7 separate regions of the Mus musculus genome follow, and all the other regions are reported to be linked to region 1. Evidence: microRNA targets listed by miRTarBase, many of them from high-throughput screens and not tested one by one. Region 1 holds a microRNA gene; each other region holds the end of a gene's coding sequence.

Region 1 (4,069 bases):
ACATATTACAGATTGAGCAGGGTCGGGAGTTCAAATTCATGCTTAACTTCAGCTGGACATCATCCTGGTATTCATGTGATGCCACCCGTGTATGTGCATGTGTGTTTACGTCCCTGTGTATGCACATGTGTGTATATAAATATACATACCATAAACATACATGTAAATGCAAGCACACAAACATGGAATGGCATTCATTGATACATTTGAATGATGTGTGACATAGAGCTTTAAAGATTATGTAGTATTGGGCTAATGAAACTTTTTACTCACAATGTGAAAAAGCTTCCCATATTCAGAAGGATTAGGAGTTCAAATTTATGAATAACTTCAAAATGGCTTAGAGATCAGCCTGGCTTTATGGGTTCCTTCCCAGTGTATGTTCATGTTGCATAGTTTTGTGTGCTAATGTATGTGTGCATATGAATATACATATAAATACACACAAACACATACACACAGGCACACACACACACACACACACACACACACACACATACACACACACACACACACACACACACACATACCCCGAATGGCACTCATTGATACTTTTAAATGACATGTGACTTAAAGTTTTAGAGATTATGCAGGGCTGGATCAGTGGGTGCTCTCACTCACAAGGTGAAAATGCTTGCCAGAGTCAGGAGGATCAGGAGTGGAAATTCATTCTCAAATTCATGAGTCCAGGATCAGCTTCGGATTCTAGTGATGCCCCCAGTGTATGTGCCTGTGTGTATATGTATGTGTGCATGTGCATGTGTGTATATGAATATACATATACATACACACATACCCATACAAACATGCACACAAACACACAGAAAATTGACACTCATCGATCCATTTCAATGATATGTGAGTCTTAGAGATTCTGTATGACTGGGCCACAGAGAGGTCTCACTCACCAGGTGACGCCCCTTGCCAGAGCCAGGATGATCAGGAGTGCAAATTCATGTTCACTGCATGATGAGGTAGAGATCAACCTGGCATTCATGTGATGACCCCTATGTATGTGCATGTGTGTTTGTGTGTACATGTACATGTATATATATATTGATATACATATAAATACATGCACACATATTCATGCATGCACACGCACACATTAATGGCACTCTTAGATCCATTTGAATAACATGTGACTTAGAGGTGAGAGATTATGCAGTACGGGGACAGTGAGTGTTCTCACTCATCAGGTGTAGACAACTGCCAGAGTCAGGTCTATCAGGAGCTTAAATGCATGCTTACACTCATGAGGACTTAGAGATCAGCCTGTGATTTATGTGATTCCCCCCATGCATGTGAACGTGTGTATAGTTGTGTGTGCATGTGTGTATATGAATATATATAACATCCACACATGTATAAATGCAAGCACAGAAACACACAAACATAGGAATGGTACTCATCGATCCATTTGAATGATATATGACTTAGAGTTTTAGAGATTATGCAGTAGAGGGACAGTGAATGGTCTCAATCACCAGGTGTAAATGATTGACAAAGTCAGGAGGATCAGGAGTTCAAACTCCATTTAGAGATCATCCTGGTATTCATTTGATGCCACCCATGTATGTGCACGTGTGCTTACATGTGTGTGCATGTTCATGAATGTATATGGATATGCATGTGCAGACACACACACACATGCAACACACACACAAACACATGGTGACTTGCATTCATCTACTTGCATAATATGTGACTAAGAGTTTTAAAGATTATGCAGTACTGTGCCCGTGCATGCTCTTACTCAACAGGTCAAAGTGCTTGCCAGAGTCAGGCCTTAAAGGTATGTGACTTAGAGTTTGAGAGATTATGCAGGGCTGGATCAGTGGGTGCTCTCACTCACAAGGTGAAAATGCTTGCCAGAGTCAGGAGGATCAGGAGTGGAAATTCATTCTCAAATTCATGATTAGGTAGGGATCAGCTTCAGATTCATGTGATGGCGCCCCCCCCCCCCAGTGTATGTGCCTGTGTGTATATGTATGTGTGCATGTGCATGTGTGTATATGAGTATACATATACATACACACATACCCATACAAGCATGCACACAAATACACGCAAAATCGCCACTCATGGATCCATTTGAATGATATGTGACTTAGTCTTAGAGGTTCTGTATGACTGGGCCAGTGCGTGATCTCACTCACCGGGTGAATAATCCTTCCAGAGTCAGGAGGATCAGGAATTCGAATTCATGCTTAACTTCATAATGAGTTAGAGATCAGATGCGATTCGTGTGATGCCCACCAAAAATGTGCATGGGTGTATAGTTGTGTGCATATTCATTTCTCTATATGAATATGCATATACACGCAAGCACACACAGGAATGGCACTCATATATCCTTTTGAATGGTATGTGACTTAGAGCTTTAGAGTTTATCCAGTAACGGACCAGAGCTATGTCTCAGTTAGGAGGTGAGTATTCTTGCCAGAGTCAGGAGGATCAGGAGGTCTAATTTATGTTTAACTTCCTGATGAGTTAGAGATCATCCTGGCATTCATGTGATGCCCACCAATAATGTGCATGTGTGTATAGTTGTGTGCATATTCATTTCTCTATATGACTATGCATATACACACATGCATACAAACTCACATACAGGAATGACAGTCATATATCCTTTTGAATGATATGTGACTCAGAGCTTTAGAGCTTATGCAGTACTGGGCCAGAGCTATGCCTCAGTTAGGAGGTGGATACTCTTTCCAGAGTCAGGAGGATACGGAGTTCAAATTCATGTTTAACTTCATGATGAGTTAGAGATCAGCCTGGAATTCATTTGATTGTCCTTGTGTATGTGTATATATGTGTAGGTAAGTGTGCTTGTACATGCATGTATATGAACATACACACACACATACATATACACATAAGAATGGCAGTCATAGATCTGTTTGATTTATATGTGCTTAGAGTTTTATAGAGTGTATAATTATGGGTCAGTGTTACATCTAACTCACCAGGTGAAAACCACTTGCCAGAGTTAGAAGGATCAGGAATTTAAATTCATGCTTAACTTCCTGATAAGTTTGTGATCATCCTGGCATTCATGTGATGCCCACCAAAAATATGCATGGGTGTATAGTTGAGTGCATATTCATTTCTCTATATGAATATGCATATACACACATGCACACACACACACACTCACACACAGGAATGACACTCGTTTATCCTTTTGAATGGTATGTGACTCAGAGCTTTAGAGCTTATGCAGTACTGGGCCAGAGCTATGTCTCAGTTAGGAGGTGAATACTCTTGCCAGCGTCAGGAGGTCCTGGAGTTCAAATTCATGTTTCACTTCATGATGAGTTAGAGATCAGCATGCGATTCATGTGATGCCCTCCCCCATGTATGTGCATGGGTTCATACTTATGTGTGCATGTAAATGTATGTATATGAATGTTCACATACATATACATAAACACACACACTGGCATTCACCTACACGCACATTAGTGGCTCTGATCGATCTATTTGAATGAGATGTGACTCAGAGCTTTAGAGCTTATGCAGAACGGATCCAGGGCTAGTTCTCCCTCCAGGTGAAAATGGCTTCTGTGGAAACCTGACAGCCTGAGTTGGATCTCTGGAACTCAGCACACAGGCAGGCTATGGTGTGATTCTTTTGGTTTTTCGTACACCTGATGATTTTCTTTGAGTTTTCAGATTGCAATATATCTTAATTTAAAATTTATCGTTCATCTGGCTCGGGAGACTGGAATACCTCCCTCATTAATAGCTGTCTTCTCTTTCATTCTCTATGAAAAAGGTCACTTTTAATTGAATGGGGTTAAGAGGTAAAGCTGGGTTGCTCTTAATATTGAAAACATTTCTGGTCGTTAAAAACTAAGAATCCTTTTGCTTATTTAATAATTCTTTAAGAATTTTTTTAAAGTGTTGTTTTTCCCTGTCAACACTTGATATTTATATGATATTAGAGTCTATTTTTGGTGATATCTTTGTCTCCTAACATAATTCAAACTAGAATGCTGTGCTTGCTTTTACACAGAGAAGTGCTTTAATTGTTGTACGAAATGTGTCCCAGCCTAAT
Region 2 (4,069 bases), not on the chromosome of region 1:
GGACATTCTGTTAAGCTCTGCTGCCTCAGATAATCTCTTGCCGTTGGCTGATGGTCCAAACACTGATTTACTAGCCATGGGCATGGAGTCATCTTACTGTCCTTATCCACAAACGTGGCTCATCCTCTACATCAGCCATAGCTCGTGGATCCGACCACTAACAAATCTCAAGCCTGATATTGACCAGTGGGTGGCCAAACAATGCCATGATACCATCATTCTTGCCAGGATTAAGTGTGGCCATGACCTCAGGGTCATCCATGACCTCTATCAAGGATGGCCATGAATCTAAAGCTTCTTATGTGAAGGCATTCATGACCTGTAAATATAATGGACGCATTCTGCAATGTGAAACAGTAAGACTTGATAAGTGTTCTCTCTTTAAAAATGGCTACTCTTATGTGTGAATGCATGTGCACACACACATATGGAAGCCAGAGGTCAATACTTTTTGAGACAATTTACTAGCTGAGGCATCTTCATACTCACCCCTCCCCCTTTTAAAGGATGAAGAAGAAGTTCTAGAGTCCTGGATGAAACAAAGCAACGTCTTGTTTTGGGGGTGGATGGCTGACACCTGGCAGGTACAGTATTTAATACCCCACCAAGTTCTCCCTATAAATGCCTCCCTGGCATCATTATACACTTACACATTTCCAAATCTCCTATATATGTTGCAGTAAGGGAACCCCTTGGTGCTAGAAGACCACCAGAGTAGCCCTTAGTAGCCCTAATAGTTACTTCATTTTAACCACAGCACCTCTTCTGTGATTCACTGTGCTGGCTCCCACAAAACTCTTTCATGTCACATGCTGCTTATTCTTATTTTTTTAAAAAAAAGATTGTTTGTGTGTGTGTGTGTGTGTGTGTGTGTGTGTGTGTGTGTGTGTGCACAGGCCAGGACACATGTGAAGGTCAGAGGACAACTCGTTCAAGAACTCAAGCCCCTTGTAAGGCCTCTGCAGTAATGCCTTCAGCCACCCTCCAGCCATCTCAATGACCCTCCAATCATTTGTTCTTAAAGGCTGGCTGTTGGCTTTCCATCTTTGACAAATAGAGCATCATATAGGGAAGACTGTGTTTCTGGTTTCCATCTCACACGAGAATAATGCAAGAATACACACATACAATCTTGGGTTAAGGCAGAAATGATTCCTCAGCAATGTGAACTTGAGAGGGTCCTAGAGTCACTGAGGGAGACACTGATGTCATAGCCTACTGTTTGTTAATATAGCTGCCCTTGATGTCATAGCCTGTGTCTGTCTCAACGTCACCCACCACTCCAACTGTGGCCCCTAAAGTCAACCTCTTCTGTAAGTCCTGGCTAATAAAGACTGTTCTGTCTTGCTGCTTCCATTCATCTCTGGCAAATTATACAAATGCTTGTGGATCCCAAGAAACCCTATTCCTTAGAAAAAGTGTCCTGTTTCATGTGTCCCATGATTTCTGAGTCAGTTACACTCTGCATGTCCCCAGAGTTCATGCTTGCGTCTATACTGCAACATTTATGCCTCCCCAGTTACTTTTGGGTCTTTGTCACGGCCAACTCTCTCCAAATTGTAAATTCCTAAGAGCAAGAAAAACTTGATCCTTCTTTCTGATATAACAAAACCAGAGATGTATCTGGAGTAGCTACTCAACCAGTGTTTGCCGAATGAATGAATGAATGAATGAATGAGCAAATAAGTGACTATAAATTGGGCTACTACGCATACATTTTAAAAAGGAAACAGGATGTTTAAGTAGAATAACTTGAACTTAAAAGCTAGAGATGGTTTAAGTTCAGGAACTTGAAAAAGAGATCTGCTTGCCCAGCTAGAGCTGATGAGCCAATGGCTCTGTCAGATCACACTGACAGCATGTCTACAGTGAATGAACGGGCAGACGTTATCGGGACCTTTACTCCAGAGATAATGAGAATGAAAGCCACAAGGCAAAACATTTTCATGCCTGACATACTTTTTATAACCTTTTTTTTTTTAAATAATCTCAGCTAAAAAGCTACCATCGTATTATTCCGAAGTAAACCCTGTTATGGTGAATGACTAGATGCCATTTTAATTTTTGTTGATTCCCAAAACTGATTTTGAGCAATTCCATTTTTACCCCCCTGTTCTAATTTTAGAATCCGTTTGCCCAGTCATCAGAGCTAACAACAGCCGTGCCAGTGTTCTGAGCAGCTGATTTATCAGTACAGGGGGCCACTGATGGAATGGCAAAGCAGCAAGAGGCACAAAGGACCTGAGGCCCATAATCTTGTATGGAGGTTAAAATAAGGAAATTCTGTTTTATTGACTCCTAAATGTCCTAGCAAGTTTTTGACAGAAGCACAGAGAGAAAACGGAAACAAACACCTTGCTGGAAATCTTTCCTTAAGGCGCCGACCTTGACGACAGCAATCATGCCTTGCTCAACAGTCAAAGGGCACTAGGTCACCTCCGCAAATGGTGTGGTAAGGAACCTGCAGTTCCCAAGGGAGACAAACAGAAGCAAACACATCCCGAGCCTGGCTGAGGACTCTGCCCTCGTCCACGTGCCTGCTGGAGCTGCCAGGTCTCTTTCCCTCCCAGGCAAAGAAAGCCAGTTGTGACAATCCACCTCTCTGTCTCATGGGGCCCACAACTGTCCCTTTAAACACTCCAGCCCCTTCTCTTCTCCTTTATCCACCTACTGTGAGCAAGATCAGATCATGCGCTGGTATTCTTCCTGGGAGGATTTATACAGACTCATGTATTGACTTCTGTGACATAATCAAGCAAGCTTCCTCCTCATTTTGAAACCTTTCTAGAAAATCCTTCCCCACCTGCACAGGAAGCGACTACATTCAGAGAGATGCAGCCAGATTGGTAGCTAAATGAAGACTACATGCAAAATAAAAGAAAGGAAAACACCCTTTTATATGCCTTGTTGGAGGTGTGTCATTGTGAATCATAGAAAACCCTAGAAAAGTAAGAGAGGTGGTGCAGAGTTGTTGGCAGGCTGGGAAGTGTGGCCATTGGACGACTGGTGGGAGGGGGGTGTTTCCTAGAAGTTCTAAACCTTAGTCTGTCTGTCTGTCTGTCTCTCTCTCTCTCCTCCCTTTCTCTCTCTCTCTATCCTGTCTCTCAGAATCTTTTCTCACAAGACACTAGAAATATACAGGGGCTGTGATTAATAGTTCCCTAGGGCATCTATTTTTCTCAGAAAGGGAAGCACTTTGGTGTGATGAAATCCAGGTATTAAACAATAGTGAAGCTTTGGCAGACAACCAACCAAAGACCCTGCTGCTTTTGGAAGACAAATCAAAACAAAAGGGGTACTTACCCTCCCCCCACTCCCACCCTCCTGTCACCCCACCCCACCCCACCCCAACAGCAAAATAGCTTTTGTTTTTCCAAAGTCCTAAGAGGCACAAACAGGAAGCAAGAAGGCATGGTGAAGCATCTCTCGGAGTGCTCTGCTGCCCTGTGCTCAGGTGATGACGGTGGGTCCTCTCCGGCCGGTCCTCTCGTGAATCTGAGATATTTTCAATGCGATGGCGATGAGCGGGCTCAGCACTGCCTGGAAAAGAAAGAAGGATGATAGTCAACTTGAAATCATCTAGCTTTCGTACAGGCTTTGGATGGATCTCTACCTTAGAGATGTGGATTCAGAGTGCATTTTGCAGTTTGTAGGCAGTGACTGGAATGGGCCGGACACAGAAGCAGGACAGAAAACTGCTCTATGAGGTTTTACCCAAGCGCAGAGAAATTAACTAATGGTGGGGTCATGTGTAAGCCTACTACTAAACAAGACTGTGAATTCGGGAAGTCTGGAAACCTCCATTCTTCCTCTGATACATTAATCCCTTCCAAGTTATAGCCCCATCAAACCCTTGGCCTCATTCAGTATGAGGGCAAAGCTCATTGCTGGTCCTCCCACCATACTGAGAACATTCAGGGTAGATGGCACCGCCACCGTGTTAACACTGTAGAACGGGTGGATCAACCCTGGCTACTGAGCTTCTTCAGTCTTCCCAGAGGGGTGGGATGGCTTGGAGAGCTTTGGAACACAGTTCAACAAAGGAGCAAGCATCTCTCCTTGACCTTCC
Region 3 (4,069 bases), not on the chromosome of region 1:
TGCGAGTTCCTGTCTCTGCTGACTCTTAACCCCTTCCCTCTTCCTTCCCTCTCCAAAGAAATACCAGCCCTCGGATCCCGCCTTTGCCTACGCGCAGCTGACCCACGATGAGCTGATCCAGCTAGTCCTCAAACAGAAGGAGACCATCAGCAAGAAGGAGTTTCAGGTGCGGGAGCTGGAGGACTACATCGACAACCTGCTAGTCAGAGTCATGGAGGAGACCCCCAACATCCTCCGAGTGCCGGCGCAGATGGGCAAGAAGGCCGGAAAGATGTAAACTGCGGGAAGGAGGCGTGGTCTGAAGGAGGCGTGGTCTCCCTAGTAACTAGCACACCGGTTCCGAAGGCCTGCTGTGTGCATCATCTCTCAAGAGTTAATTCTCCTAGCTGAAAACCAGATTAATGATTACAACGAATCTTTTACTATACATCTCCCAGCGTTTTGTTTTTCAATGCCACTGTGCCTTTGACTACATTGTAAATATCAGATTTGATCCGATGTGTTTTAACGCCAGGGTTGTTGCCCTTTGATGCTGAGATCTTCCGGTATGGATCCTCCGTGAAGGCAGGCTCAGGGTGAGATGAGAAAGGGACTTTGGGATGTGTGCTGTTTCACCCGCTCTCTTGGCCTTTGAGCACCTCGGTTGAGGCACAAGCTCAATTTTTAATTCGGGTAAACCCGAGGACTCAAGGGTTGTTTTGGTGAGGGTTGGTTTGGGAGGCGTTGTTCTGTTTTCAGGGTGGGGTGTTATGTAGCCCCGGGCTGGGGCTGCTCTTGAACTCACTGTGTACTGAGATTGGCCTTAGATTTCTGACCTTTCTGCCCCCCACTGCCAAGTGCTAGGATTACAGCCGTGTTTGATGCCTTCTGGTCGGAGCACGGTTGTTTACATAAAACCTCTGAGCATGCTTCTTAGATTTTTGAATATGCCTTTTACAATTGGCAGTACCCTCTGGCCTTAAAAATATGTTCTCCATGGATTGGGGGATATAGCTCAGTGGGTAAGGTGCTTGCACTACAAACCTGATGGTCTCCGTTTGGATTCTTAGCATCTATGCTAAAGCCAGGAAGAGTGGCATGTGCCTGGGTGGGGGCTGGGCTGGGGGAGGGCAGAGCCAGGCAGATCTCAGGGGCTCACTGGAAACTCCAGGTTCAGTGAGGGACAGTCTTAAACAATAAAATGAAAAGCTACCATAGACCTCTGCCCTTCATGTGGTCACACACACACACACACACTGCTCTTTAGATCTATAGGGCCATTTCCTGGAGACATGAAAGAACTAAAGAGTCACTTTTCAGGCTGGAGTGATAGTCTAGTGGTTAAGAGCACTCACTGGCTGAACAGTGGACCAGGTCCAGAGGACTTGGGTTCAATTCCCAGCAACCACATGGTAGCTCACAACTGTCTGTAATTTCTGTTCAAGGGAATCTGACCGTGTCACCCGGACATCCATGCAGACAAAATATCAATACACATAACATTAAATTTAAAAGGAAACAGAGAGTCGGTCTCTCCTCAGGGTTCGGGGTTCCTGTTGCCCCGCTGGCCTTTCCTAGGTGGGGAGGGGACTGAGTTCCTCTACAGCATCTCTGTGAGGTGGAGGATGATTTTAGGACCGGACCTTTGGCCGTTTCCTGCCATCGGCTTGTCTCAATGGCGTTTCCTGGAAGGGAGTAGACAGTCCACTGATTTCTCAAGATGAAGGAGGCTCAGGCAGGGGCTGGGTAAGTGCTCAGGGGTAGAGCGCCCCAGCCACACGTCAGCGGTAAGGAACAGTTGTGAAGAGCTACAGGATGGCATCTGCTTCTTTGCTGCTACCTCCTGATTTGGGGAGTTTTGTTGCTGCTATTTTGAGACAGATCTCACTGGCTTTAAGCTTTTCACACATACACACACCCCCACCCCCACCCCCGCCTCAGTTTTTCAAATTTCCAAATACTGGAATTACAGGTATGTGCCACCATTCCTGGTAGATCAATGTATTTTTTTTTTTATAAAATGTACACACACACACATATATATATATACACATATATGCACACCTTAATATATATATATATATACATATATACACACATCTTAAAACACACACATATGTATATATACATACACATATAGATGCACACCTTAATATACACACACACACACACACACACACACACACACACACACGGCCGCTTTTTCACTAGTAGAGGGAATTCCATTGCTGGTCACCTCATTCTGGAATTAAAATGTTTCATGATTTTTTTTTTTCTTCCTGGTAGTAATAAAAAATCTCACTAAATCTTAACACCTCTGCTCAGCGAGTCATAGGCCAATGCCGTGGATAGGGTTGCCGTGGATAGGGTGGGGTAGCGGTGGTTCTCAATGAAGAATCTGTGTGTTCTTATCACCCGGAAGGTGAGGAACGCTGGTTATACTGCAGCACTTTAATCTGAAGGGCAAGACTGTAACTTGATTTACCTAACAAGCTGTTGATGATCCACACGTATTTTTATTTAATCTCTCTTACAGTACTAGGGACCACTGTAAATTTCTTGAGATGATTTGTATTTTTTTTTTTTTTTAGTGTCATGAAATTCATTAATATGCCTATAAAGAAACTGTATCCACTTGATCTCTGAAAATGTACATGTATATTTCTGTTCTGCATCCTGGGGTTTTGGTTTGATTTTTTGTTTTGTTTTTTTTGTTTTTAACTTGATATAAGTGCATTTTTACTGTGATAACCTAAGTGCACTGGAGCACTGCTCAGAAGAGGCAGCCTGGGGAGCTGCCTTGTGTATGAAGAGTCTGGAGGTCTCTACTGCTACTCAGACCTTTGGTATGTAACCGAGTCAGCTCTAGCGAGGACCGTCTAGGTGAAGTGAATTCCTGTGCTCTGAAATGCCACTTGGGGACTCTGGAGAATGAAGGACAGTTTACTTCGGGGGCTTTGCTGGTTTCTGCAGTGCTGGGAAACACTGCCTTTCTGACGTTGCTGTACCTCACAAGGTAATAGAGGCCCTGCCTACTTATAATAACTGTTCCTGACTATTTGGTCGGGCACTAAGGAGTGATACCAACCAAGGGAAGCCGAACCTGCATTGAGCCACTGGCAGAGGCTGGTGACAGGGAGAGCCCTGGAGCTACTGAGGCTGACCTCTGCCTTGTGCTTGTAGCTTCCACTGATGCCAACTTGAGGTGCCCTGGAGGGGCCTACACTCTGGAGAAAGAAGAGAAGGAAGGGAAGAAAGAAGAAAGAAAGAGCCCTTTCCTTGCCCATGCCTGGCTACCTCCAAGAAAGCCCAGCCAGAGATTTGGGTGGGGTATGAAGGCGTTGGATTAAATACCAGCATACTCCATTTTAGGACAGCATCCTAAAAACCAGCCAGCCCTTGGCCTAATCGTTTCATATCATCTTATCTTTGGCTTCGGCACTTGGCCTGGCTTCCCTGTTTTATTCCACCATATTACCTTTACTTGGGCCACAGAAAGAAGGAGCAAGCAACCCTGCCCTGTGCCATGCTCCACTGCTGTCCAGCAAGAGAGGCTGGTCCATGACGCTTCACCGTGCACTGTATCGAGGCTAGAGTTCTCCATCCCTAGGTTCTTCTCCCAGTCAACCACACCGCCCCCTTTGGGTGTCTTGTGCTTGCTAATTCCATGCTCTGTTGCTGAGTTACACTCTTAGCTGGACCCTCCCCCGAGTTGTGTTTCTGTCTTTGTTTTTTGAGACAGTTTCTCATGTGAGCCAGGTTAATCTTGATTTTATGGCTATTAATGACCTTGAACTCATTATCCTCCTGCCTCTGCCTTCTGAGTGCTGGGAATATCAGAGTGTGCTATCATTCACAGCTTTTAATTTTTTTTTCTGAGGGTGGGGGTGGGTACTAATTGAGGATCCTTCAAGACTGAAAATCTATTGTCTTAGATAAGAAGCATGAACCCGGGCTGGAGAGATGGCTCAGTGGTTAAGAGCTCTGACTGGGGCTGGAGAGATGGCTTAGCAGTTAAGAGCACTGTCTGATGTTCCGAAGGTCCTGAGTTCAAATCCCAGCAACCACATGGTGGCTCACAACCATCTGT
Region 4 (4,069 bases), not on the chromosome of region 1:
ACAAATCTGCAAACCCAAGGCAAGAAATCTAGAGTGTTATTTATCTGAAAGGTACATAAAGAAACAGGACAGATACAATGACACAAATCTGCTTCCCCCAGGGATCTCCAAAGGGACAATATTGTATTGATAATGCTTCCATTTCCTTTTACAAGGGTTATCAGTATCAATTGGAATAGGAGTTTTTGGTGTGTTTTTTAAACAGGGTTTCTCTGTGTAGCCCCAACTGTCTTGGAATTCATTCTGTAGACCAGGCTGGCCTTGAACTCAGAGAACCTGCCTCTGCATCTGGAGAGCTGGGATAGGAATTTTAGTTTTCTTTTTTTTTCTTTTTTTTTTTTTTTTTTTTTTTTTTGGTTTTTGAGACAGGGTTTCTCTGTGTAGCCTTGGCTGTCCTGGAACTAACTCTGTAGACCAGGCTGGCCTCGAACTCAGAGATCCGCCTGCCTCTGCCTCCCGAGTGCTGGGATTAAAGGTGTGTGCCACCACGACTAACCGATAGGAATTTTTAATAGATAATTTTGTACTTAAATTTCATGAATATTTTCTTAGTGAACACCTTTCTATAAGACACAAACAGAAATTTAACTTTTACTTTTTAATTTGCTGTGTGTGTGTGTACATGTGTGTGCTTACACATATGGAAGTCTGAGAATACTGTGTAAGGGGAGGTCTCTACTTCTACAGTGTGGGTCCCAGGGATCAAATGCAGGTTGTCAGGCTTGGTGCAGGCACCTTTACACCCTGAGCCATCTCAAGGGCCTACAACTGAAAATAAATATAAAAAGGGGGCTGTGGAAGCCACCTCATTAAAACCCTAGTTTTGGCAAATAATTAAATGACAACTTTATTGAAAATCAGATAGAATGTGGGAAATCAATGAATGTAGGAACTTTCTCCCCATCAGCCACGATTTCTTTAGTTCAAAGGCACCATATCATTTCCCCAATGTCACAAGGACCTCCCAGCAGCTGGGACCACACTAGATTTGAGACTAAGACATCTAACAGATAAGTTCCCAGAGGGTGTTCTTTCTAATTTCAGATAAGTTTCAACTTTCTTGATTTAAGTTGTTTAGGAAAAAACAAAACAAAAAAACAAAACCTGCCTTTAAATACCACAGTTAGCCAGTCAGCGGATGGGAGACAGACACCCAGTGCAAAGCCACCAAATAGATTTGATTCTATCAGACTGCCTGCTTGTGCTAATATGTAAGAAAGAGATTTATTGTCACGTGGTCATGGTAACTAGGCAAAACTGTCATCCATGGAAACATACCCAGGTCACTATTCATTACTGAAAAGAATTCCAGGTCTGAATTAGAAAAGGTGGTTCTCACAAGCTGACATTCCAGATGCAACACGAAGATATAGCAAAATTACTTACATCCAATTCCGGAAGCCATATTAATACTAGACTTAACCTAAGAAAGTAAGGCAGATGACCAGTTCTGAATTTTCCTAAAACTGTGAACTAAGTATCAATGCAAAAGGCACCCCACTGTGGACAGCCCGCCACATTATGAAGTGTGTGTCCTCCAATAAAATTCCACATGGCACAGCTTCCCACAGCACTGTAAGGAGGGGCCAAAGAGCCCTGTCTCACCCGCCTTAACATTAACATTACATTCTGCTGTCATTCGGTCAAATTAAACACTTCATTAGCCACAGGAGACAGAACATAAACTGAGAACATACAAAAATCTTCATCTCCAGAAGTTGAGATTTTTTTTTCACTCTTTTTTGAGTAGCTAAAAAGGTTGGGAGGTAAATATTTTAGAAGCAATTCTAAGAATAAACACGGAGAGATTGCTGTCACAACAGGGCATCTGTCTTCTCCGGTGCAAGAATTTTAGTTATCACTGTAGGGTTTGACTTGTGGTCATCAGCATTACCAAAACTATGACAGACAATGACAACTGAAAGCTAAGCTCTCAACATTAGACAAGGGGAGCAAACTTTCTCACATCCAGAATTCTCACTCTTAGGGTTTACTTGACAGACGATGTTGTTCTAAATTTGTTTAAAGATGGGAGATAAGATCTTACATGTGAATATAGGCTATTTTTCAAGAATTTTTATAATCAATCATTTTCAAAGTAAGAACACTATTTGGGCTTTGTTGTTGTCTGGTCATTGAAAACCTCACCCGTGTGTGGAGGGTGAGCAGAAGTCACAATATCCACACAGTCAATTAATGACTGTAAGGTAAGTCTATAGGCCCTCGGCTCACTGCCCAGCACCATGGTGGTGGTGGTGGGGTGGTGGTGGTGGTGGTAGGCATTAAATTATACTTGTAGTGAAAAAAAAATTGGATAACACCAGAGATTTCTTAAAAGTGAAAAAAGCAGTAGGAGTGACGAGCTAATGTGAAAGGGAACCATGTATGTCTGAGAATTAAAGTTGAAGTTTGTTTTAATCTAAGCATTTATCTTCATAAAAATAGAGCATCTAATCTCTCATCTAATAGTATAATTCATCTGTATAAGCACTACTGGATTTTCCATAAAGTCATTCTTTCAAAAAAAAAAAGTTTTTAAAAGAAGATACCCTCTTTTGGTTCTTCTAAGGTGGGAATAATAATGTTTTCATTATGAGATTGAAAAAAATATATATACCGTGTATAAACACAACCGTGTATAAACACAACCTTGGGAACGTTTTTTTGAGGCACAAGATCCCTGACACGCGGAGGTACATAGAGACATTTAACATGAAGAAGTCCTGTACAGCACGTCACTTTACAACTGGGAAGGTTTTCTTGGTAATACTCATGCAGTATGCATAAACAATATGGCTGTTGACTTGGCAAGATCTGATGAGACTGCAAGCAAGGGAAAAAATAGACAAAACAAAACAGGTAATCGTGGCAGGAAGAAAAGTTATGCGAGTCCTTCCTTCCTTCGAAGCCCTCAGAGGACCGTGCCTCCTGCCATGAGGCTGAAGGTCTAAAGCTGAACACCAATAGTACAGAACGGTTACTATATTATCTTTGTCTGTCGCTGACAGTCCCTTCATTTGACACAAGGCTTAACCTTTGTTTGGCGACATAAATTTACATTTTTCCCCATGCAAATAAAAAAATGTCTATAAAAGTCCAATGAAGGCATAACCAATTACATGCAAAATTGTGACATCTTGTTTTCCAACAATTTGAACACATTTAATTTACATCACATATGTACAAAATATGTTTGAACGGAAATAAAAGCATTCTCTTGAATTAAATTATAGATTTCAGTATAAAAATCTTCTCTGTGTAGGGAGTTTTCTTCACTTCCAGTCCCAAGCAATGGGTTCTTATCTCTACAGTGCTTGCCATGGGGGGACGCTCCCAGCAGGGGGAGAGTGGGAGAGTGTGACGGATGGAGCCCGCGCTGTAAACATTAAGGATTGCTGGCTCTTTTTACAGACCGGGACACTGAGATACACCCCAATCTCTAACTTCCACGGTGAGGGCACTCCAAGCCAAGTTCATGATCCAGCACTGTGGTCTACCCCACCATGAGAATGACTTCTTTTAATAGTCTTCAATTGGAGCTAATTCTGGCATGAGGTTTACAGATATATTTGTATACAGCCTATCAACCAGTATTTTGGGTGTGTATAATAAATTGTTCAGTCCATCGATGTACTGCCGCTCCTTGGAATACCGAAGTAATTTATACCTAAGGGAAAACAGTGGGAAATGTGTTCAAAAGAGGAAAATATATTCTGAGGCATTCTTATAATAAAGGCATGCTTTAAACTCTCTAAGCCATTATTTTAAATTAGACTAGTCAAAAACAGGTTACCTTAAAGAGAGAGAATTTTATACTGTCACAAGTTAGATTATATTTTAAGAAGGGAAACATTCTAAAAATAAGAAGTTAACTAGTTATGAACATAGGCATGATTGTGTACATCTGTCTCTTCCTCTATATACACACACATACACACATGCCACACAGACACAAAGATACACAGACCACCCCCCACATACACACACAGACACACACCCTATAACTGTAACCCAAAAACATTTGCCAGAGACCTTTGATTATGAAAGAAAATTCCTTCCTTTAAAACAA
Region 5 (4,069 bases), not on the chromosome of region 1:
TCTCCCAAGTGCTGCAGCCTTAAGAGGCTGGCCCAGCTCTCTCATGCCTTCACAGTCAAGGCAAGGTCCACTGTGTTACCCAGGCAAGGTACAGGGTCAGCTCTGAGTGTTGCAGCCAGTGAGAGATCAGGGCTAGTTCTCCTGTTCTCGTGACCCCAGGTCCAGCAATTGCAGGTGGCAAAGGAAAATGGGAAGGCACCATCCCTGGTCCCACTCCACTTGACACCAGGTGAGTGGAGGGGCCAGGGCTTCTGTGCTTTCACCTTGCAGGGGGTGGGGGCAGCTTGCATGAGTTAGTAACAAGCCCTGGGATGCTCAGGCTGATGCGTAAAACGTCTGCATCCAATGTTCATAAAAACGAGAGGAGACAGGTGCAGCGCTGTATGGGCCTTTGATGCCCTCTGAGAGGTATGATGGTTTTGATCCAAAAGACTTCTGCAGTACCACACACACACACACACACACACACACACACACACACACACACACACACACACACACACACACACACACACACAAATGGCAATAAAAGCAACAAACCCCAGGAGTCCTGTGGGAGCTGAGTGTTAGTGGAAAATGAAGAAAAGTTGAACTTTTCAGTGGCGTGGAAAGCTCTGGGCAGATGAGGAATTCAAGGATGGTCATGGATTTTATTCCTCAGGGGCAAAGGTACTTAGAATTCAGTCTTACAATGCTGTCCAATGTGGCACTTACTCCCAGACTGAAGTGATCCTCCTTAAGCGTCTCTCAAGTAAAGGCAACTAGAATTTCCCTTTTTCTTTCCAATGGGAAGTTGATACCAGAATCATCCTTTTCTTTATTTAAAGCAAGACAATGAATTGGGCAAGATCAATTCATTAGGTAAAGCTTCTAAACTCTTTTTTTCTTATTCAGACAGGGTCTCACTATATAGCCCTTGCTGGCTTGGAACTCATGGAGACACAGTTGCCTCTGCCTCCCATGTGCTGGGGGGAAGCTTCTAATTTCATTTTTGAGTCTACTAGATTGAATTGCATATTGAGTATGTGTCCCCTCAGGCTGAAGTTCAAATATCACTGGGAAAATGTTTAAGCCCCTTGGACAGGAGATATTTCATTTTCTTATATAGGTAGCAAGTGATGAACTGTTTATAAATACAAAAAACATATCTCAAAAAAGAATGATACAACTTTTATTTTCCATGGATTTTACAGATACTTTTGCTACATAGTTTATGTATTCTTATGAGATTATACTTTTTCACTTGTATGAAGTTCAACCTTATACAATTTTAAGGTGGTATGTTTGGTAGTGTATCTATAATCTTTAAAAAGTTGAGTTTTTGGAATGTACAGTATATGAGGTAAAATCAAGATTACATTAAAAATTGTTTTCTCCTCTGCACTAACATTGCAGTGAGGCTCAAATGGCAAGTACACTATTAAATGACATTTACTATCAAAAATAGGAGTTCATTTGAATTACTATGAAAAACATAAGCCACTGTGTGGCACATTTTACCATTTTAGACATTCAACTATATAGAAATCTCTGGGCTCTTACACTCAGACTCATTTGTACTGCCAAATGTGGCACTTTTAAGAAGTTCTAGAAAACAATCGTAATCGCAGTTGTTTGGGGGACAAGTTATCACCCTATTCATAAGAGATTAAATAAAATGTAAACAAACAGTATATTAGAGTGACAGGGTTTTCTTACACTTGGAGAGGCCAAGTTTATCCGTTTCTTTTTTGAATAAAGGTTAATGTTTTTTCTATAGCGCAGATCATTGACATAAAACAATTACAATACATGCCCATTCTATTATAAGGGAAATTCTTCAGAGATCTTCAAAGTACAAAACATACATTTCTTTTTGACAGACAGAAGTGCTTAGTAATCACTAAAATGCAGACCTCAGCAACTAAAAATTAGTGACTCGCTACTCTAAAATCCAAATAATAAATTAAAGAAGCTAGTTACAGATGTCTACAGATAACATGTGATAAAACAAAAATTTCATATAAATTCATTGCAGACTGTATTATTACTGGCAGTCATTGACATCGAGGCGAGATGTACAATGTGATATGACAAAATTCAATCTGATCATCCAATAACTCACAAATGCAAGCTCACAAACAATGAACTATGCAATTTGCAAAGTGCTCTAATGCAACGGTACCCACATGCAATCAACAATTTGGAACAGTATCCAAACAGACATTATACATTAAACATTAGTTTCTCAAGAAAGAAAGCAGCTTGAAGTTTACTGGTGCAAATTAATTTTGTCTTCAGATTTGGTACCCCAAACAAAAAGGTTGAGTTTGATTAGAAATTCTGACGGCAACAGCAGTAGTTACAGGAGATGCTGCAGAACCACTGGGAGTCCTTCAAAGCTAGCCTAGACCAGGTGATGAGTGTGGACACATCTCCTTACCTGACAGTCTGCACACAGACCCAATGTGAATGTGTGTGCACATGTGTGCGTGTACACACACACACACACATACACACACACACACACACACACACACACACGAGTTTCAAGGCCCAGAAAACAGAAGCTAAACGGGCTTCATATTTAGTTATTATTTAAAAGTCTTCTGTTCTCAAATCCCAAAAAGAGGTACTGTTCAGGTAATGATCCGTATTTCTGGGTCTGTGCTTTCTTGGTCTCACTTGTGAGTTCGTGTGTATGCATTTGTGTATGTGTGTGGATGTATGTGTGTGTAAGTGTGTGTGTGTGTAAGGAAGAACTCCACACTCAACAAACAGCTTCTTTTTCACTCAGATTCCTTCATCCAGTTTTTGTTTGCTAAGCCCTCCAGTTATTCATCAAAATCCCACTTACCAAACAATTAAGACAAATGAGGAGGTAGAAGTATAGCACTAGATTGCTTTCACAGCATCAGACTTGAACAAGTTTCGTAGAGAACGTTAGTGTAAATTCTAGTCATTCTGAACTGTTCTTTCACATGGCAGTCATCTGCGAAACCCACAGACGTGGTTGCCACTGTTTTACTTATGCTGACTGGTCAACACGATCATAGCAGTGTCCTTTAAAAAGCTTGTTTCACTAGAAGGCATATCTGGGGTTTCAGGGAGGTGTGTAGGGGAGAGAGAGAGAAAAAAAAGAAGCAGGGAAAAAAGTTCCAACCCCAAACCAAAATACCCAGCCTCCCCAGATTGATGTTTCTGTGCTGGACTCCCATGGAGGGCCAGCCTTTGCCTAACAACAGAAGCACTGAAATGCCAAAGCCATGTTTCAATAGATAGTCTCAATGCCAGTGCTAAATGCCACCATTTTGTAAAAGCAATACAGAAATAATTTTAGTACATGACAAAATAAAATGTAATACAGTGTTAAAAATAAAGTTATATTTTCACTTGATTACAAAGTACTGAATGATAAAGGCAATCAGAATGGAGAAAAAAGCAAACACCACCAGGATGACTGCAGCACACTGCTCGTCACTTAGAGTACGCCGGGTCCGGGCACTGTCCACACTGTCTTTGTTGCTGCTGGCCGGCGGTTCTGTCCTCTGGGAGATGAAGAACACTGTGGTGCTGTAGGGACCTACCAGGTCCTGATGCCCTGTAGGGTCTTGGCATTGGCGAATGGCACACACTCGAAATCGATACTCACAATTCAGCTGAAGGCTGGAATACCGGAATGAAGTATCAGGGCCCTTGTAAATCTGTTGAGGAAATATTAGAAAAAGAATGGAGTACAAAGTCTGGACAAAAACTATTAGCACAGGTACATTCTGGAATTATTTCAGATGTGAACATGTCTGAAAATCACTCATCTCATCTTGTGTATGTGCGGAATGTGGGCACTTGCCCACGCAGGCCAGAGAGCAATGCTGGCTGTCTTACCGTCTTCACGCACTCTCTACCTTATTTATTAGTATTTTCTGGGAAGCCTCTCATGAACCTGTAGCTCGCCTGAGGACTCCCCTGTCCACCTCCCACGCACTGACATTGTGGGCACATGGCTTTTATGTGGATGCTGGAGCTCAAACTCAGTTTCCCAGCTTGCATAGCAAGTTCTTCATCTGCCAGCCTCAATTTTTTCTTTTAA
Region 6 (4,069 bases), not on the chromosome of region 1:
AGAGACGGGAAGCTTTGCCTCATGTGGCGCATAGGTGACTTCCGACCAAACCATGTGGTAGAGGGCACGGTGAGAGCCCAACTTCTGCGCTATTCAGAAGACAGTGAAGGGAGGATGACGATGGCGTTTAAAGACCTCAAACTCGTCAATGACCAGATAATCCTGGTAACTCCAGTGACTATTGTCCATGAAATTGACCATGAGAGCCCTCTGTATGCCCTTGACCGCAAGGCAGTGGCCAAAGATAATTTCGAGATTCTGGTGACATTTATTTATACTGGTGATTCCACTGGGACATCCCACCAGTCCAGAAGTTCCTACATCCCCAGAGAAATTCTCTGGGGCCACAGGTTTCATGATGTATTGGAAGTGAAGAGAAAGTACTACAAGGTGAACTGCTTGCAGTTTGAAGGAAGCGTGGAAGTCTACGCCCCCTTTTGCAGTGCCAAACAACTGGACTGGAAGGACCAACAACTCAACAACTTGGAGAAAACGTCCCCTGCCCGAGGATCCTGCAATTCTGACACCAACACCAGGAGGCGGTCCTTCAGCGCAGTTGCCGTGGTGAGCAGCTGTGAGAACCCAGAGGAGACCGTCCTGTCCCCACAAGATGAATGTAAGGAGATGCCCTATCAGAAAGCCCTCCTGACTTTAAATAGGATCTCCATGGAATCCCAGATGTAGCCCTCCTCTCCGACCCTTATCTAAGGGCCAGAAGCTGTAAGCATGATTTTTAACAAAGTGTTAGTTCTGTGATTTGGGACAGGAATAGAAAGCAGAGCAGGTTAAACTTGGTGAATTATTATCTAAAAAATCCACAATTTTACAATATTAAAATTTGGCTTTGGCAGTAGAGTTTGTATTAGGGAAGTGATTATGAAGCTTAATTGATTACAATTAATCTCATTATTGCATATACCTGTGTCTCCTCTTGAAGGTGAAATATTTAGGAGTGGGGGAAAAAGAGGCTGTTAAACCAGATAAATATAGAGAAGCAGATAAGCTAAATATTTGCATATAAAAATAAATTAATTATGGAATGAGAACTTATAACCGTATTGTATCACCTAAGCACAGCAGGTGAAATATGCCTCCGCTCAGAAACACTGAGATGAGAAAGTAAAACCAAGTGAAGTTTGAGTTTACCACATTTGCCTCTCATAGTATCTTGCAGACAGAGGTGTGGCTTTAGGAAAGTGAAAATGCTATCAAGTCAGAGATGCTTGCCTAAAGTGTTATTAGTGAATGCTGGAAGCCAGAACCAACCATGTGACAGAAGAAAAGGGACATCATTACGTAAATTAGTATTTCTCTCTTAAATACCTTGGTTCAACCGAGTCACTGGGGAGCAGAAGGGAGGCGGTGGCCTTTCTGTGTGCTCCCTGGAGAAGGTTCCTGTGCTCATAATCCCACTGTGCTCAAGCATTTGTGAAGAGGCAAGGTGGGATGCAGGAGTGGGCAGCAGCTGTGTGCATCCTCAGACCTTTGGAGAAGAGATGCTAGATGCTCTTGATTCCTGATCCTGAGAGGCTACAGTGTGGGTTGAGGAGAATTCAAAGAGATAGAACCTTTCCTGAAGGCAGAGGATCACAGTATGTATGGTGACCTGAGTTGCAGGTCTGAATACTTTTGTCAACAATGATGTTGATTTGATTGTAAATAAGAGGAATAAACTGAATATTATGGGGCTGCTTAAATTTTAGGACAAGAGATGCATGTTTATTCTCTGTCTTCACATTAAAGGATTAAGTTAATTGCTGATTCCTTTTTAGCACGAACCCAGCCACAGAGACCGTAAGCTTTATAAACTGAGGAATTATTAGCCATGGCTTGGCATCACTGGAGCAATTTTTTCCCACTGTTGCTGAGCTAGGAAGGAGGACATTATATGGCTGGTATTGAATTTAAGCACAAACACATTTTGATTCTTTTGGTGCCTTCTTTCTCTCTCTTCCTCTTATTCTCTCTCTCTCTCTCTCTCTCTCTCTCACACACACACACACACACACACACACACACACACACACACACACACACACTTAAATTTAATCCCATAGGCACACTGAACTGAATCACACAATTCAAGACTTCCAAGCTAAGTCAAATAAATAGATATTCTAAGGGGTCTCTTTTTCTTCTTTTTTTCTGTTATTTTTTTTCTCCCACTCCCTTTCTTTCTTTACCTCTCCCTTGTTACCCAGGATCAATACAGAATACAGTGTAACTTTTCTAATGCACATGTGTAGATAAATCTTTCGTTCCTGCTGTCATATAAATAAGAGATCTATCTGTTCATGGGGCATGTTAAAAACTGTCCTGGACTTCTTAATATCTGAAACCTAAATCATGTTTAACCTGCAATACTTGGGAATGGAGAATCCATTAGTTAAACCATAGAGCCATGTATTTATACACCCACACATCTGGCATGCACACACACACACACACACACACACACACACACACACACACACACACGCACACACACACGGTGGGGTGAGGTGGGTGAGACAGACACACAGAGAAAATTCGAATTTTTTAGCAGGAATTACTTGTCTAAATTAGAATATTACCCTTTCCAAGGCTGGAAAACATCGCTCTAACCATGCTTTCTCCACCAGTTTAAATTTGTTTTCCTTCAAGGCAGGTACAATCCAGTGCACCAGGCTTCCTTTGCTCTGTCCTCCTATGACAAGATCAGAATGGGGTGGCGGTGGTCAGGGATCACAGGTCTCTGATTAAACAGATTCTGGTGCACTGTGTGTTCATACACAGAGTGAAACGTGTGGTCCCATGCATCTCTCATCTTCTGTGCAGATTTATAACATGCTTTGACACGCCTGATGGCTTACTTAATAAAGATCTTAGACTGGTGCAAATGCTGTGTACATCCCTCTGCTCCCTGTAAATGTCGATTCTGCTTCCCCAAACTGAAAATGGTGCCTCCTATAATTCATGAGACACTGTTATGGGGCTCTTACCAGTGTGTGGAGCAGCCACACCTAAAGAGACAGTCACTTCTATGAACAGCACAGACTGGCTTTGTGCAAAATGTACTTAGTCTCCATGATGAAATGGTAAGGTGGGTATTTAACAAAGGTCCTCTTCATTGTTTTGTTTTGTTTTTTTCCCCTCACAAACAAATTCCTAATTGGGGCAGCAGTGTGCTCAGGTGAGACCATGCAACAGTGCCCCTCAGTTTCCCTTTCCTCTGGTGGGAGGGGAGCTCGGGTCACAGATGGTATTAAATAGCTGCATTCTGGGTCATGTTGTTATCAGTGCAAGTCTCTCGGTGTGACTTTCACTTTTATAGAGGCAGATTTAGCAGGCATGCATCTCTTCACTCTCCCTTGTCACCCCCTTTCCCTCATGAACTTCAAACTTGACGGCTGTTGGCTCTGCAGCCATGTCATAAGTGAAACACATCTCCTGGAGACAGAATGGAGGGACAGAGGGACCATAACCTCCACGTGCAAATGTCTGTGTAGTCTGAAAAAAATTCATCCGTGCATACGATATACGTGTGCTTCGGTCACATTCATTTATCGATTTCTTCCTCTGTTCCAGATCCCTCCGACATACCCTCTCCAGACTTCATGCTCTCTTGTCTTTTTTAACCCATTGGGCCCATTTACCACTGGAATAGGGACCACCCACCAGAGACATGAAAATAAAACAAACAAACAAACAAACAAACCCCAGACTCTCTCTACTCCAGTAGCTGTCGGCTATCAGTAGTCACTACTCGGCTGGATCTAGCTTTATGCAAGAGTAAAAATAAACACTGTCTAACCATCACAGGGCAAATCATGTCTCTAGGGAATGACTTTGAAAACAGACAGGCTAGAAAAGAAAAGAAAAAGATGAACAGCTTAAATCCAGTTTGCACTTGTATATGACATTTGCTGTATCTGGTCCCCGTGGAAATTACATATTTTCTTGGGAGTTGAGGAAATGCCATCATTATTGTAAAACTAACACAAAGGAATTGTCTTTGACCTGGAAATCCCTTTGAGACACTGGTGGCTGAGTGATCTTTACAGCAGGATTCACCAGACCTCCGATGGGG
Region 7 (4,069 bases), not on the chromosome of region 1:
TATTACAGATGGTTGTGAGCCGGGAATTGAACCAGGGTCCTCTGGAAGAGCAGTCAGTGCTCTTTACCACGGAGCCATCTCTCCAGCTCCAAATGAGATTTATTAAAGAACTTAATGACCATTGCAAATTCTTAGGACACTAGAGGACAATGAAGGCAGTACTCATCTAAAGAAGGCAGTGAGCTCTCGGAAGTCACTCAGGTCTATGGTGCATATCTTGTTCATATAGAAAGAGCTGGTTGTGGTAATTGTTCACCTGTAACCCCGAGGGGGTTGGGGGCAGCAAGTGTTCCGGGTGAGGTAGTACACATCTTTAATCACAGTATTTGGGAGCAGAGGAGAAGTGTCTCTGTGAGTTCAAGGCTAGCCTGGTGTACAAATCAAGTTCCAGATCAATCAGGGCCATGCAGTGAGATCCTGTCTCAACCCTGCCACTCCACAAAGGTAACAATTTGTAGGTATGTAGCCCAGTGGTGGAGCCATACCTATGACACCTGATAGCTATGATGCCTAAGACTCAGGCTGTCATATTTATTGGATATGGGTCTAATAGGATATAAGCTAGGGTCTCACTGTGCTGTCCAGGCTAGTCTGGAATTAATGGATTCAGGCAATCTCCTGCTCTAGCCTTCTCAGTAGCTGAGTGTACGAGCACACAAATACAGAATGGTGGTAATCGCTTTTGTTTTGGGTTTTTGAAACAGGTCTCTCTATGTGGCCCTGGCTGGCCAGAAACTAGCTGTGTAAACTAGATTGGCCTCAAAGTCATAGAGAGCTGCCTACCTCTGTGTTGGGGTTGGTCTTGTGCACTGTGTATTCCAATGCTAAGTTCTGTGCCCCAAGATCAGGTTGCAGTCAGACATGGGCATTGTATTGAACAATGTGCTGTACAGAATGTTCCCCAATAATCCCTGATTGGATAATTAAAGGCTAAATAGAGCCTATGGCTGGGCAGGAGAGAGAAGAAGGTGGGACTTGAGATGGGGGGGGGGGGGTGTGTGTGTCTCTGCTAGGGACCAGGAGAAGGAAAAAGGTAGCGGGAGGAGGCAGTCGCTATGAGGCAGGATGGATCTCAAGGACCGACCATGAACATGTGGCCAGGAGAAAATTGCCCTGAGGACACACATGAGCAGAGCAAATAGAGCAAGTTTCTTCTCTTTGTGTAGCCCCAGGTGTCCTGGAACTCCCTCTGTAGACAAGGCTGGCCTTGAATTCACAGAGCTCTGACTGCCTCTGCCTACTGAGTGCTAGGATCAAAGGTGTGCACCACTGCTACCTGGCTTAGACATTGTTTTCTAATATCTGCCTTCTTTCAGAATTGTTTTGACATTACAGGCACAAATAACAACACTTCGTAGCGCTGCAAGGATGTGCTCATACCTGCCTCTAATTCCACCCTCTCTGTAGGAGAGGCAAATGGAAACCCGATGGGTTACACATCTTGCCTCAGCAGGCCCTGCAGAGGAGGTGGGGCAAGTGCAGCATTAATAACCCTAAACCTCTTAGGAGTGTGGCTGCCCTCCTATGTAGCCCTGGCTGGCTTCAGAAACAACAGCAGCCTACACAAACCTGGCAGGTGGGGTGGCTCACAGGTGGGGTGGCTCACAGGTGGGGTGGCTCACAGGTGGGGTGGCACACAGGTGGGGTGGCTCACAGGTGGGGTGGCTCACAGGTGGGATGGCTCACAGGTGGGGTGGCTCACAGGTGGGGTGGCTCACAGGTGGGGTGACTCACAGGTGGGATGGCTCACAGGTGGGGTTGCTCACAGGTGGGATGGCTCACAGGTGGGATGGCTCATGGGCTATGCCTATAATTCCAACCCTTGGGAGGCTAAGCAGGAGGATTGCCACCTGATTGAGGTCAGCATGGGGACACTGCAAGTTCCAGACCAGCCTGGGCTATAGATTAGGAGCCAGTCTCAACCCCTCACCCAACAAAAAAAGTCAGGCTTATGATTCCAGGAGGAAGAGGCAGGAGGAGGCTGCCTAGACTGCAGTGAGGTTGAAGCCAAATAAGCTTTATAGGGAGCTCCACCCAGCTAGGTTATAGAGCAAGACTGTCTGAGGGCTAAAGAGATAGGACCGGGTTTGGTCCCCACCACCCTCTTCTAGCCTCCTCAGGCATTGCACACACACACCTACACAGAGAGAGAGAGAGAGAGAGAGAGAGAGAGAGAGAGAGAGAGAGAATACATGTGGGTAAAATACACATATACATTAAAAAATTTAAAGAAAGAGATGCTTAATCATTCATATAAAATATTTATATCTTCCCTAGGGAATATATTATTGCACATATAATTCTTTAAAAACTCTTAGAGGCCACTGATGGGGGTTCAGATTTTTATGAGTTGGACAGCCTGGTCTACATAGTTCTGAGCCAACCAGGGGTTCATAGAGATATCGTGTTTCAAACAACAAAAACCTGTTATTGTCGGGATGATGGGATAACTGCAGCTATCCCAATGTGCTTGCTGTCAAGCGTGACAGTCTGGGTTCCACTCCAGAACCCACATGGTAGAAGGAGAGATCGGACTCCTGCAAGTTGTCCTCTGACCTCCACACGTAAGCCATGGCGTACACAAGCCACCCCACTCTGAGTCCCACACTAAATAAACATGAAAGAATTTCTAATTTTTTTGTGAGATGTTTACCCACGAGCATACAAAACAAATGCTTAAGGAATTACAAAAAGAAAAGGACATTACAAAAGTGGGCTTCCTTGTAACTACCACCAACATCAGAACATGGGGGGGGGGGGAGGTGGGGGGCTCTCAAGTAAATAAATCACCCCAGGCTGGAGATGTTGTCAGTGAGAGATCAGAACTCTGAATGTTAGCATTCAAAACATTTCAGACTCTATACCCAGTACAAAAAAAAAAAAAAAAAAAAAATTCTACTTCCAGAAATGTGAGCAAAAAACCACCCAGAACCTTCATGGAAGCATATGTGGGACAAGCAAAGGAAAGCGGTTCACATCTGCCACACCACATCTGCTGCACCCATACTCATCACCACATTGGCTGTCTACAGCCTGTGCGCTTAGTCCCCACTTGGTGGAACTGTTTGAGAGGGATTAGGAGGTGTGGCCTTGTTGGGGGAGTGTGTCACTTTAAATATACAAAAGCCTATGCTAGTCTGTGTGCGTGAGTGTGTGTGTGTGTGTGTGTGTGTGTGTGCGTGCGCACTCGTGCCCATGCGCCTGGTGATCAGGATGTGAAGCTCCTGACTACTGCTCTAGCACCACGCCTGTCTGCTTCCCTCCATGATAATCATGGGCTAAAACTGTTAGCAAGCCCTGAGTTAAACGCTTTCTTCTATAGAGTTGCCTTAGTCATGGTGTCTCTTCACAGCAACAGAACAGTGACTAAGATAGATGTCCACGCAATGCTAAGAACCTGGTTCTTGCTTGGGGCTGGGACTTCCTATTTAATTTCTCTCTGTCCCCTGTCCCCTTCATAGATAGTAAAAAGTAAACTTTGTTCTAAGGCTCCTCTCCCATGTCCGTCTCTGAGTCAACAGAGAGGCCAACAGCTGTTCCTTCTAGAAGCTAGAGGTGGGGCCACTTTTGGGCACCCAGGCACGGTGGCACCTGTCTGTGCCTTCCTCAGCTGGGTGCTGTGGCCTCTTCCTGGGGCCTTGCAGGGAGCGTGGCCTCAGGCTGATGGCACAGAGTAAGGGTCCTCCCCTCAAGGAGCCAGAAGACAGGGAAGAGAGGCTGGCTGAACACTGCATAGAAAGTGTGCAGCGGCTGTGTGCGTGGCTCCAGGCTGTAGAAGGTGAGGCAGCCAGAGGTCAAGTTCAAATCTACGCCCAGGAGTTGTCCGGGCAATCCACGCAGGCGCTGAGATTTGCCATTGTGCCAGGCCTGCATACTGTCCTCCTGGATGCAGAGGCCCCAGGAGCAGGGTCCACGGCCGATGTTATCCGTGTGGGTCCCCAGCTTTTGGCGTGATAGCTTTGGGTAGGTGACGCCCAGAGTGACAGAGTGATCAGAGACACGTACCTCCCAGTAATGTTGTCCAGTCTGAAAACTCTGGGTACACTGCACCTGCCACAGCTCGAAGCTG

Evidence for each region. The annotated mature microRNA mmu-miR-669m-5p reads UGUGUGCAUGUGCAUGUGUGUAU and lies in region 1 at 1,993-2,015, shown strand. An mRNA with a match to its seed (bases 2 to 7 or 8) in the 3' UTR can be bound and repressed. Matches are read on the target gene's strand: a 7mer-m8 pairs with bases 2 to 8, a 7mer-A1 pairs with bases 2 to 7 and ends in A, and an 8mer does both.
Region 2: miRTarBase lists Pgm5 as a target of mmu-miR-669m-5p. Seed matches in the 3' UTR shown: 8mer at 886-893.
Region 3: miRTarBase lists Rab11fip1 as a target of mmu-miR-669m-5p. Seed matches in the 3' UTR shown: 7mer-m8 at 2,037-2,043 and 7mer-m8 at 2,121-2,127.
Region 4: miRTarBase lists B4galt6 as a target of mmu-miR-669m-5p. Seed matches in the 3' UTR shown: 7mer-A1 at 626-632 and 7mer-A1 at 477-483.
Region 5: the mRNA of Fndc3a is a reported target of mmu-miR-669m-5p. Seed matches in the 3' UTR shown: 7mer-A1 at 2,465-2,471 and 8mer at 2,455-2,462.
Region 6: miRTarBase lists Kcnj16 as a target of mmu-miR-669m-5p. Seed matches in the 3' UTR shown: 8mer at 2,430-2,437 and 7mer-A1 at 2,479-2,485.
Region 7: the mRNA of Trim65 is a reported target of mmu-miR-669m-5p. Seed matches in the 3' UTR shown: 7mer-A1 at 3,173-3,179 and 7mer-A1 at 3,139-3,145.

What each region holds. Positions count from the first base shown.
Region 1 is chr2:10,515,090-10,519,158 of GRCm38, forward strand. Mir297a-4 (microRNA 297a-4) reads left to right here and starts at 1,978; the gene lies at 1,978-2,075. All of the region lies in intron 10 of Sfmbt2 (Scm-like with four mbt domains 2), which reads left to right. It overlaps Mir297a-3 (microRNA 297a-3), which reads left to right and starts at 731; the gene lies at 731-832. It overlaps Mir466l (microRNA 466l), which reads left to right and starts at 1,008; the gene lies at 1,008-1,128. It also overlaps Mir669i and Mir669h.
Region 2 is chr19:24,681,035-24,685,103 of GRCm38, forward strand. It overlaps Pgm5 (phosphoglucomutase 5), which reads right to left. Exons shown (of 11, transcript NM_175013.2): 11 at 1-3,540. The coding sequence ends at 3,451. Among named protein-coding and RNA genes, the nearest start is that of Tmem252, 9.1 kb to the left of the region's middle.
Region 3 is chr8:27,139,384-27,143,452 of GRCm38, reverse strand. It overlaps Rab11fip1 (RAB11 family interacting protein 1 (class I)), which reads left to right. Exons shown (of 6, transcript NM_001080813.2): 6 at 59-4,069. The coding sequence ends at 277. It overlaps 4933416M07Rik (RIKEN cDNA 4933416M07 gene), which reads right to left and starts at 543. Exons shown (of 4, transcript NR_045840.1): 1 at 92-543.
Region 4 is chr18:20,684,802-20,688,870 of GRCm38, forward strand. It overlaps B4galt6 (UDP-Gal:betaGlcNAc beta 1,4-galactosyltransferase, polypeptide 6), which reads right to left. Exons shown (of 9, transcript NM_019737.2): 9 at 1-3,667. The coding sequence ends at 3,520. Among named protein-coding and RNA genes, the nearest start is that of Gm16090, 22 kb to the left of the region's middle.
Region 5 is chr14:72,536,799-72,540,867 of GRCm38, forward strand. It overlaps Fndc3a (fibronectin type III domain containing 3A), which reads right to left. Exons shown (of 26, transcript NM_207636.2): 26 at 1,155-3,683. The coding sequence ends at 3,369. Among named protein-coding and RNA genes, the nearest start is that of Gm30500, 47 kb to the left of the region's middle.
Region 6 is chr11:111,025,090-111,029,158 of GRCm38, forward strand. Kcnj16 (potassium inwardly-rectifying channel, subfamily J, member 16) reads left to right here. Exons shown (of 2, transcript NM_001252209.2): 2 at 1-2,879. The coding sequence ends at 684. Among named protein-coding and RNA genes, the nearest start is that of Kcnj16, 30 kb to the left of the region's middle.
Region 7 is chr11:116,122,460-116,126,528 of GRCm38, forward strand. Trim65 (tripartite motif-containing 65) reads right to left here. Exons shown (of 6, transcript NM_178802.4): 6 at 2,249-4,069. The coding sequence ends at 3,607. Among named protein-coding and RNA genes, the nearest start is that of Trim65, 6.6 kb to the right of the region's middle.